Linked DNA regions of Oryctolagus cuniculus. The protein of the gene in region 1 interacts with the protein of each later gene in a pairwise test. Links are inferred from orthologs where the notes say so. Each region holds a gene or a part of one and is shown in the gene's direction. Other genes may lie near its edges. The genes, in order: SHC1, INSR and SHCBP1.

Region 1 (2,456 bases):
GTCCCCTTGCCTTTCTGTAGTTCCTTCACCTGCCCACTCTCACAGCTGTCTCCAGCTTCTCTTTCCAGGGAAGCCTCAACCAGCCATCACCCCCCACCCCCAGCCCCACCCCCGTCTTTTTCTCTTTGCTCAGCCTTCTCGACTGTTTCATTTTCTTCAAGACTTAAGGGCCGCCGAGGTCTTGGCTCCTCACCTGAATTGACCCCCCTTCCTTCTCACTTTCCCAGGTTCGGACAAAGGATCACCGCTTTGAGAGTGTCAGCCACCTCATCAGCTACCACATGGACAATCACTTGCCCATCATCTCTGCGGGCAGCGAACTGTGTCTCCAGCAACCTGTGGAGCGGAAACTGTGATCCGTCCCCGCGTCCCCGAGCTCTCACAGAAGACGCCCCTGCCTCCCCTTCCACCCTGTTCCCTGCTCTCAGGACTTCACTCAACGAGTGTTCTGTGGGCTTGGCCTTGGGTCAGAGCTGGGAGGAGGGTGGACACTGGGTTTTGCATTCAGCTGAGGGAGAGGGTTTGAGTCAGGAGCCTGGGGTAGAATCCTGCTTCTCCCCAAACCTCACCAAAGTATTAATGTACAGAGTGGCCCCCCCATACCTGTGCCAACCTGATGCCCCCTTCCCCAGGAAGGTGGGCACTCGAGATGGAAACGTCCCCTGGTGATAGGCCCAGTGGAGCAGTCACCCTTCTGGGGAAAGGGGAACAAATCACACCTCGGGTCTACCCCTGGGCTTCAGGGAGTCACAGACCACTCTCAGCCTTCCCCCCAGCGTTTAACTTTGTGCCTTTGACCATCTCCTAGGTCTGACGATATTTAATGCAAAGAAGTTTTCGGGCCCCTGAGTTAAGGACAGGGGTGCTGACGCCGTCTTGGCTCCCAGGACCCTGTCCTCCTTGCTCAGCAGCCTCTCCAGTTTGGGTTGGGAGAACAGAAGCAGTAGTGGCAGCTGTCCCCTCTCCCTGGGGAGGTGCAACCCTTAGAGATTGCCCCAGAGCCCCCCTCCCGGCCAGGGGGGAGATGGACCCCCTCCCTTGCTCAGTGCCTCCTGGCCGGGACCCCTCTCCCCAAGGGGTCTGTATATACATTTCATACGCCCCGCCCCTCCCATGTTGCATGCATGTTATACTCTACAGCCAAAGTGTAGCTCTTCCTCCTGTATCCCGGCTCTGCCTCTCCCTTCCCAGGGTGTGAACTGGAGCCTCCTGTACAGTTCACTCTCCCAGGAGGGTTCTGTGGAGGCGGGAACAAGGGCACTGAGACTCGAAAGCATTAGACAATCCCAAATACCATCTGTCGATTTGGAACCGCGCTCATTTTTACTTTGTATGCACATATTTTATGGCTGTAGGTTTACTTTCCTAATTTTGTTCTCCATGGCTTGTTCTTGAACACAAAATGATGATGATCAACTACATCCACACATCACCTCTTTGACTTTTCCAAGCCCTCTCACCACTATTGGCATTTTCCTCACCGGGCCTGCAAAGGAACTCGGACTGGCAGCATTATTATTATTTTTACAAAAGAGACCAGAGGCAGAAACGGATTTTGAGCCAGGACTAGAACTTGGACCTCTTACCGCAGGCTGGGAGGCAGGCGTTTGGCTGGCTGTGTCGATTTCACGAAGGGGGAACTTAAAGCCCACAGGTCCCCCAGTACCTTCTACACGCGGGGCCCTGTGCTAGGCCCACTGCAGCCACAACCACAGAAGAGGCCAGTCCTGCTCTTTAGGCCTGTGGGGAAGGGAAAGCTGACAATTTTAATCCTAGCCACCACCTCCTTTCGTGTGTTTGGATGTTTTCACGGGTCTCACTTATACCAAAGGGAAATAATCTTCATTAAAATCCGTATTTCTTCTACTTCGCCTTCTTAGCCACTCTTGCAAGCCCATTGTTCGCGCGGAGCCTCCGCGGCAGGAGGGGAGGCTCCAGGTCGCCGCTGGCCCCACCTGGCCTCACTTGGGGCCCGGCGCCGCCCGCTGGGCCCTGGGCGCCGGCCGACTTAGTGCCCGGTGGGCGTGGAGACCGATTGTCCCCGGGGGATGCGGCTGCGGAGGGGCCTGGTGCAGGCGGGGCGGGGCGGGGCAGGGTCCGAGGCCAGCCGGCGGCTGCCGGTGCCTCCTGGGCACGCGCCCCTCGGCCCGCAATGGTACGGTCCGGTCGCAGGGGCTGGCGGGCGGCGTCCCGCGGTGAGCTGGGGCCGGCCGCTCCCTAGAGGGCGACGGCTGTCTCCACTAGGGCCGCCCCGTGGTCCTCTCTCCCCTCTTCCTGCGTTTTGAGGCGCCGAGTCTCCCAGTCCTTGCTTCCCCTCCCCGCCGCGCTCGGTGGTGGCGGCCGAGCGGAGTTCCGGTTCCGGTCGCTGCTGCTGCCGCGGGCGGGCGGCGAGTCTGGAGCGGGCTCGCAGTTCGTGCTCCAGCTCGGCGCCTCCCCCTCGCCGCACCTTGGGGCTG
Region 2 (3,654 bases), on another chromosome or scaffold:
GGTGGCCCAAGTCGTTGGTCCCCTGCACCCACGTGGGAGACCAGAAGAAGCTCCTGGATCCTGGCTTTGGATCGGCTCAGCTCCAGCCATTGTGGTCATCTGGGGAGTGAACCAGCAGGTGGAAGATCGATCTCTCTCTCTCTCTCTCTCTTTGCCTCTCCTTCTCTCTGTAACTCTTTCAAATAAATAAAATAAATCTTTAAAAAAATTAAGTGGGAATGGGTATATTCAGTTGAAAAGACCAGAGGTTAAAGCTGAAGGAAAATTGCGAGATGTGTATATTTTGGTTTTTTTCCTGACTTTTCTACAATGAACACTTAATTGATATATAATTTTTATATATTGATAATATCTATTTTTATATAAAGACCTTTATCCATGCTTATTAAGAAAATCCATTTGAATACTGCAGCTCCCAAATAAGACATCAACTGAGGAAACTTCATGGGAAGAAATCTGATATGGAAAAAGTGAGAAGCAGAGTCATTTAGAAACTTGGAGAAAAATATTTTTAAACATTTCCCCGTGCATTTCCTCTCCTAGCCATGCAAGGCAGCAGCCTTGATCAGGGGAATTAAGGCCAGGAGTTTGCCCCTGTTTTTTCTGGAAGGGATCGTATGGTGAGTGGTGTCAGCTCGGTGGGCCATGGGGTTTTCTGTCAGAGCTCTTCGGCTCTGCGGATGTAGCTGGAAGGCAACCGCAGACATTATGTAAGAGAATGGCTATGACTGTGTGCCAATAAAACTTTATTCAAAAACACCCTGGCTCTGAGGTGGGGGTGGATTTGTTCTGGGGACTGAGCTGGCTGACTCTTGTAGAAGAAGTTAGAGTTTGGAAAGAAAGAGGGAAAATGGCAAACACAAGTCCTCAGCCCCTTTCTCAGAGTGCTGTTGGCTGAGGAAATGGGCAGCCATGAGGATGTGAGGCTGGGGTCCTGGCTGCTGACAGACGCCTGACTGAGGCGCCTCCCGCCACCCTCCAGAGACGGAGGGCTGGGCCAGCAGGACGGACACGGAACTGCCTCTCTGGGTTCCGTAGGCATTGCTGCTCCCATGAGCTTCAGCTCCCCCGCCTGGAGAGGTCTTTCCCTGGAACAGCCGGGGGTCACAGGCGGCCTTTCCAAGCAGCCCTGGGTGGGACTGGGCCCTCAGGAAATGCCCCAGATTGGGGAGGGGCGGGGAAATCAGGAGTGTGTGAAATGACGAAGCCTGCACAGCACTGCCTGGGGCAGCCCGTGGGCCGCGGACCCTTCAGAAAGCTCATAGAAGGAGCTGGTGTTGCTGTGCAGTGCGTTGTGCTGCGGCTTGCAATATGGACCTCCCATGTCGGTGTGCCAGTTCAAGTCCCAGCTGCTCCCCTTCTGATGCATCCTGTGCACCCCGGGGGGCAGCAGTGATGGCCCAAGGATGTGGGCCCCTGCCAGCCACGTACCTGGATGGAGCTCCTGGCTCCTGGCTTCAGCCCTGGCTCTTGTGGCCATTTGCAGAGTGAACTAGCAGATGGAAGATCTCTCCCTCTCTCTCTCTCTCTTTCTGTGTGTGTGTGTGTGTGTGTGTGTGTGTGTGTGTTTCAATGAACTAAATCTTCCAAAGCATCTTGCAGCACGCTTGGCCTGGGCTGCAGAGGCGAGAGGACGGGGGAGGGGCTGCCTGGCTGGGCCCCCAGACTCACGGTGGCCATGTCCCTGTGTTCCGCAGCACCGACCTGATGCGCATGTGCTGGCAGTTCAACCCCAAGATGCGGCCCACTTTCCTGGAGATCGTCAGCCTGCTGAAGGACGACCTCCACCCCAGCTTTCCGGAAGTTTCCTTCTTCCACAGCGAGGAGAACAAGGCTCCCGAGAGCGAGGACCTGGAGATGGAATTCGAGGACATGGAGAGCGTGCCACTGGACCGGTCCGCGCACTGTCAGAGAGAGGAGGCAGGGGGCCGGGAAGGGGTGTCCTCGCTGGGCGTCAAGCGCTATGAAGACCACATCCCCTACACCCACATGAACGGGGGCAAGAAAAACGGGCGGATTCTGAGCCTGCCTCGGGCGAATCCCTCCTAACGGCGCCTGCCCGGGCCCGGGGTTTCCATCCACACCTTCCTCTGGTTCCAAAGTCTCCGGAAAACTCAGGATCGCGGCGACTCGCCCTCGTGGCCCACCGGGCTCAGAAATCGGCCCTCGACTTCTCTGCTTGTCTTCGGACTTCACACACACACTTGTGCAATTGCCAATGTGACCGGGGCGTCCGTGAAAGATGCAGCCGTGAGCCTAGAGGGGCAGGGAGGGTTTTCTACAGCTGTCTCAAACCGGGATTTTTTTTTTTTTTTTTTTTTTTAAATCTCGTAGCACAATGGGAAGAAAGCACCTGTTTTTACAGTTTTTTTTTTTTTCCTTGCTGGTGTCTGAGCTACAGTATAAAATGTAATACTTGTTTGTGGAACAAAAGTTTGAAAGGAGAAAAGGAAAACCCACACCCCCTGTTGGCAGGGAGTTCCACGCTCGCCAGGGTGGGCGTGCGAAGGTTTTACTCATCCCACTGAAGGACGTGCTTCTTTGCCTTCTTCTCCACAAAGATCAGTTCCTCAAGTTGACCAATAGCTGCTGTTTTCATACTCTGCATGAACACCTGCCGTCCCCGGTGTGTGCACACTGTGTGTGTGTGTGTGTGCAGGTTAGAGACCGCTGGGGTGTGTGTGTGTGTGTGCGCACACGCACGTGCAGAGTATTCACGCGTGCAGAGCCGGCACTTGACACTTGCGCTGCTTCAAGTTGGCGTGTTCCGGCCCCACGCTCCCCTGCCTTATTTCCTGGCATACTGTGCCCCCGGCAGGTTCTTCTCATTTTACAAGTCTAGCCTCGGATGTCTCCTTTCCTTTCACTTGGATGAAAAAAAAATTTTTTTTTTCCCCCAGGAACTAAGGGAGGAGCATTTCTTTTAGAGTGATCATGGGTTCTTTCAAGACCAAACAAAGCTAGGATGGGGAAAAAAAAATAAAAGAACTGGGACGGCAGGAGAGTTTTGAGGATATATTTGTACCCTGTTTAATGGGAGAACACCTTTAGCATTAGCCATGTAAGTTATCGAGTCGGGGAGTGTGGTCATGAGTGGGCCTTCCTGCTTATAAGGAGGGGTGCCAGGCACAATTGGCCTCTTTGTTTGGTCTTAAAGCATCCATTCTTCTGGGAATTAAGCCACATTCGCTGCTAATCTTTGTGGACATCGTGAGGCCATGCTGAGTGGGTGCACAAGTGGGCTTTGTGGAAGGTGTGGTTTGGATACCACGGCCTGCCACAGGGCTCCTGCTCGGCTCAGCGGGAGGCTTCCAGGAGCGGAACCCAGCTCCGAGGACACCCGTGTTCTCCCTCGGGTTCTCTGTATGTACCTCATGCGGCTTTGCCTCGCCCGGGCCTGCACGGCCCCCGGGGACTGTGCAAACACAACACAATCAAAGCCCAAAGACGTCTGGAGGACAGCATAAGCAATGGCAAAGGAGATGTGGCCCGCCGGGGCACCTGAGGCACTTCTCAGGGGCTTCGTGATGTTGCAGGGCCCGGGAGAGAGGAGTCTGGAGGAGGAACCGTTCAAGACCTGCACACCAAGGACTTCTGGGTGGGCGGGACCCCACTGTCCTTCCCTTTGTGAAAGGAACCACAGCTGCTCAGAGG
Region 3 (3,654 bases), on another chromosome or scaffold:
ACACTGTTATGAAACAATTTGAAATACTTCCCTCCCTATCCTGGCTCCAAAATTGTCCCCTGCCACCCACTTATGAAGATTTTGGATCTAATGTATGAGAAGAAAATAGTTTCTTATTAAACAGTGATTACAAATTGCGCAACTTGAACTTTCAGTGTTTCTAAAGCATAAATGCTTGAATCTATGAAAAAAAAAATAACTCTTCAAAAGGAGAATTAGTGACCTTAATGAAGTGGTGCTTCAAAACTTTGAATAGCTTCTACTTATAATAGAGTGCTGTTCAGAAAGACTTAACATGTATCTGAGTTTTATGCTATGAAACATTTTCTTGCTGGGTCTTTGAGGACTAAATGGGCTGTGTTAATGATAGGAAAATGTGCCTGAAAGGCAATGAATTTCAATTTGCTTTTAAACTTTCAGGCATTATGACATTCTTGAAGACCGAGTTCCTTCAGGACTCATTGTTGACTACCAAAATCTGTTGTCTCAATGTGAGGAGAGTTACAGGAAATTTTTGAATCTGAGAAGCAGTTTGTCAAATTGTAACTCTGATTCTGAGCAGGAAAATATCTCCATGGTGGAAGGGTTAAAATTGTATTCCGAGATCGAACAGTTGAAACAAAAGCTAAAACTTATTGAGAATCCTTTGTTGAGGTATGTGTGTCTTTGTTATTCTTAGCTAGTTAGCATCTTTTGTTAATATCTGTCTTACTGAGAACTGATAGGTCTGTGTGGTTTCTTTAAGATATGTGTTTGGTTATCAGAAGAATTCTAATATCCAAGCCAAGGGCCTCCGTCCAGGCGGTCAGAAGGTCACCCATGTGGTCTCTTCCACCATGATGACTGGTCTGTTGCGGTCCCTACTCAGGGACAGGCTCTGTGAGGACCCTTGTAAGGAAGAAACAGAAATTCAGGTAAAAAGAGTTTCTTGCTCACTAGGTAACTTTTTCTTTTGATTTACCCCATATTTTCATGAATGCTACCAAGTGTTCCTAGGAGCTTCCTAGTGCTGGTTTTCTTGAAATGGGGAGTAGGGGGAGTGCTGTATGTCATCAATAGTCACCTACCAAACAGGACTTGACTCAGTGCAACTATCTATCAGAGCAGATACTTAATTCTGCAATTTTGACTCCATTTTGAAAATGAGACATGAAGGCACTTGGAGTAATTCTCAGGTTGCATTTGGGGGCTATGTATTTGCAATATGTTGTTGTTTTCTAGTTCCATAGTGATCCGTTGTCTGCCATAAATGCCTGCTATGAAGGAGACTCTGTTATCGTGTGTCCTGGTCATTACGTGGTGCACGGCACATTCTCCATTGCTGACTCTGTTGAGTTAGAAGGTGAGTATGGAAGAGCTCACAACCAAAATCTCATGCATGATACCTATAAGGAGAAATCTTGGCTCTTGTTGAAGCTCTATGAATGATTTCAAGTGAACTGCCTGGAAACATTAAGAGTATTTAAAGCATGCAGGGAATTGACCAAGTGTTGAACAACTTGAGTTGTAGCTGTTTATGACAGTATGTATATTGGAAAGATGTTCACAGGCACACACAAAAAAAGACCATTATGAAGAATCAGACCTTCCAGATTATGGGTGGTTTATGGAATGGAAATTAATTTATATGATAAAAAACATTTCCAGCAATATTTTTTCAAAATTTTGTATTTTTCTGTTTGTTGCTTGCTGTTACAACTGTTGTGAATATCTTAGTGTCTGTTTTCTCTTTTGTTATATTTGTTTTTTTTTAATTTATTTTTATGAGGGATGTATTTAAATTAAAATTGGTATGAAAAATTGTTTTAATTCTTTAAAAACTTGCTTAATGTCACAAATGCTACACTTTGTGTCTTGACCAAAGTATACTTTTGAGGATATGAGTATTGAAAAATTCTATTGAAATAACTTTTTAGCAGTTATTCATTTAGAGGGATGCCTAAATGTAGGTTACCTTATAGTTGTTTATCTTGGTCCTGTGTATTTCCATAATGTGTCAAATTTAGATGCACCTGTTCAACTATTTGCCCAAGCAGCTTTAAGTTAGCAATAAAAGTTGTAATGCAAAAAATTGTATATCATTTTGGGACTTGTGCAGCTGTTCACAAACTGCATAAGCTATGTTCTTTATCTTTATCTTGTCAGAACTTCTTAATGGGAGCAAGGCTGGGAGTTTAATTTCCTGCTGTTCACTAGTACCTCGTCTCACCCTCTTTTGTTTTATGTGTGTAATTTTTGCTCTTTCTCTTCTCCCATATTTGATTTATAATAGATATATGTGTATAAATAACACATCTGGGGGATAAATCACTGCAATAAAAACACTTTATTTTTTGGCATAGTGAGAATAACAATGATCTTGTAGATTGTGTGGTAGATAAGAATTCTTCCTAGATTGGTGAAGAAATTATAATGTAATTGCCAGGGTGTCATAAATAACCACATAGAATTCTGATAGTTAAGTATAAAAATGACTATAAATTTACTAACAGAGGGCATTTCTGAGAACTGAGGAATCAAATAGTGTCTCTAGTGTGAATATATGGAGAACATGTTCAAGAGTAAGATTAAAGCTTATCTGATACTGATCTATAGCTAACACATAACATATATTGAGTACCCACAGTTTACAGGGTTTTAACAGTACTTACTGTAGGTCATTTGTGTTTAGAAAATCCATTTACTTTGATGATGGTTTTGTGTTTTAAACTACTAAGAATCTGTAATATGTTTATATAAGAAGAACTTTTCCTCAGAATGCAGTTATTTAAAATTTAAAAAATTTTTCCGATGATAAAATACAATGATAAAATAAAATCTGCAAAGTACAAACAGACATGTACAAAAAATTGGAAGCAAAGCCATTTGTCTTACTCATAATCTAATCATACACAGTCTACCCCTGGTAACATTTGGTTTATGAAGTCCTGAATTCTCTGGTGCTTCCAAGTGCTTGCCTATACTCGCCACATGGCAATAAATGGCTTTGCCTGTTTAATGCAGTTACTTCATTCATTTGCTCAAGCAGACTCATCTTGAGACAATGAGAGTTATTTCTTACAGCTTTATCTCTGTGGTTCTGTTTTAGGAGGAAAGTTAGGCAAGTTCCCTAGTTTTCAGATATTCTAATTTTTTGTGAGCTCTGAGAATCTCACCTTGCATTATTAGTTTGATTAGGATTAATAGAGATCCATTGTTATTGGTTGGTTAACAAGATAGGTTGTTTTTTGCAATAGCTGAGACACTTTGAAGTTAGTCTTATTTTATATCAATCTGTTTAAGAGATAGTAAAATTAGATAATCTTGAAAAATGCTTAGGTTTATTCAAATGTAATTCATGTTTAAGTCATAGACTTTTTGAGTCAGAAAAAAATTCAGAAGGGCTGAATGCTGTCAAGCCTTTTGACCCAGGTGTGAGTACTTTGGATTATTTATGTATTTTTTAACAGCAGTTTTGTAAGTGAATTCAGTGCTGAGCTGGTCTGAGGTGGTTGATAAGATAGTTTTCTTGATATAAGAACCAGTTGGGGAGTTATTATTATTATTTTTGTTAGAGATTTATTTTATTTATATGAAAGGCAGAGTCACAGAGAAGGAGACACAGAAAGAGAAACAGACCTTCTATCCTCTGGTTCACTCCATCCAGGTCTCCCA

What was found.
Region 2: the proteins of SHC1 (region 1) and INSR interact in a two-hybrid assay, tested with the Homo sapiens proteins (2 studies listed by BioGRID and IntAct). The link is inferred for Oryctolagus cuniculus from reciprocal best matches to the Homo sapiens genes SHC1 and INSR.
Region 3: the proteins of SHC1 (region 1) and SHCBP1 interact in a two-hybrid assay, tested with the Homo sapiens proteins (2 studies listed by BioGRID, with this or other methods). The link is inferred for Oryctolagus cuniculus from reciprocal best matches to the Homo sapiens genes SHC1 and SHCBP1.

Annotation. Positions count from the first base shown.
Region 1 is NC_091438.1:43,545,627-43,548,082, forward strand, and holds the end of SHC1 (SHC-transforming protein 1), read left to right. Parts: intron 1-227; coding exon 228-356; 3' UTR 357-1,866; downstream 1,867-2,456. UniProt on the Homo sapiens protein: Signaling adapter that couples activated growth factor receptors to signaling pathways. Participates in a signaling cascade initiated by activated KIT and KITLG/SCF.
Region 2 is NW_027208201.1:3,562,624-3,566,277, reverse strand, and holds part of INSR (insulin receptor), read left to right. Parts: intron 1-1,697; coding exon 1,698-2,049; 3' UTR 2,050-3,654. UniProt on the Homo sapiens protein: Receptor tyrosine kinase which mediates the pleiotropic actions of insulin.
Region 3 is NC_091449.1:30,368,840-30,372,493, reverse strand, and holds part of SHCBP1 (SHC SH2 domain-binding protein 1), read left to right. Parts: intron 1-420; coding exon 421-654; intron 655-745; coding exon 746-914; intron 915-1,221; coding exon 1,222-1,342; intron 1,343-3,654. UniProt on the Homo sapiens protein: May play a role in signaling pathways governing cellular proliferation, cell growth and differentiation. May be a component of a novel signaling pathway downstream of Shc. Acts as a positive regulator of FGF signaling in neural progenitor cells.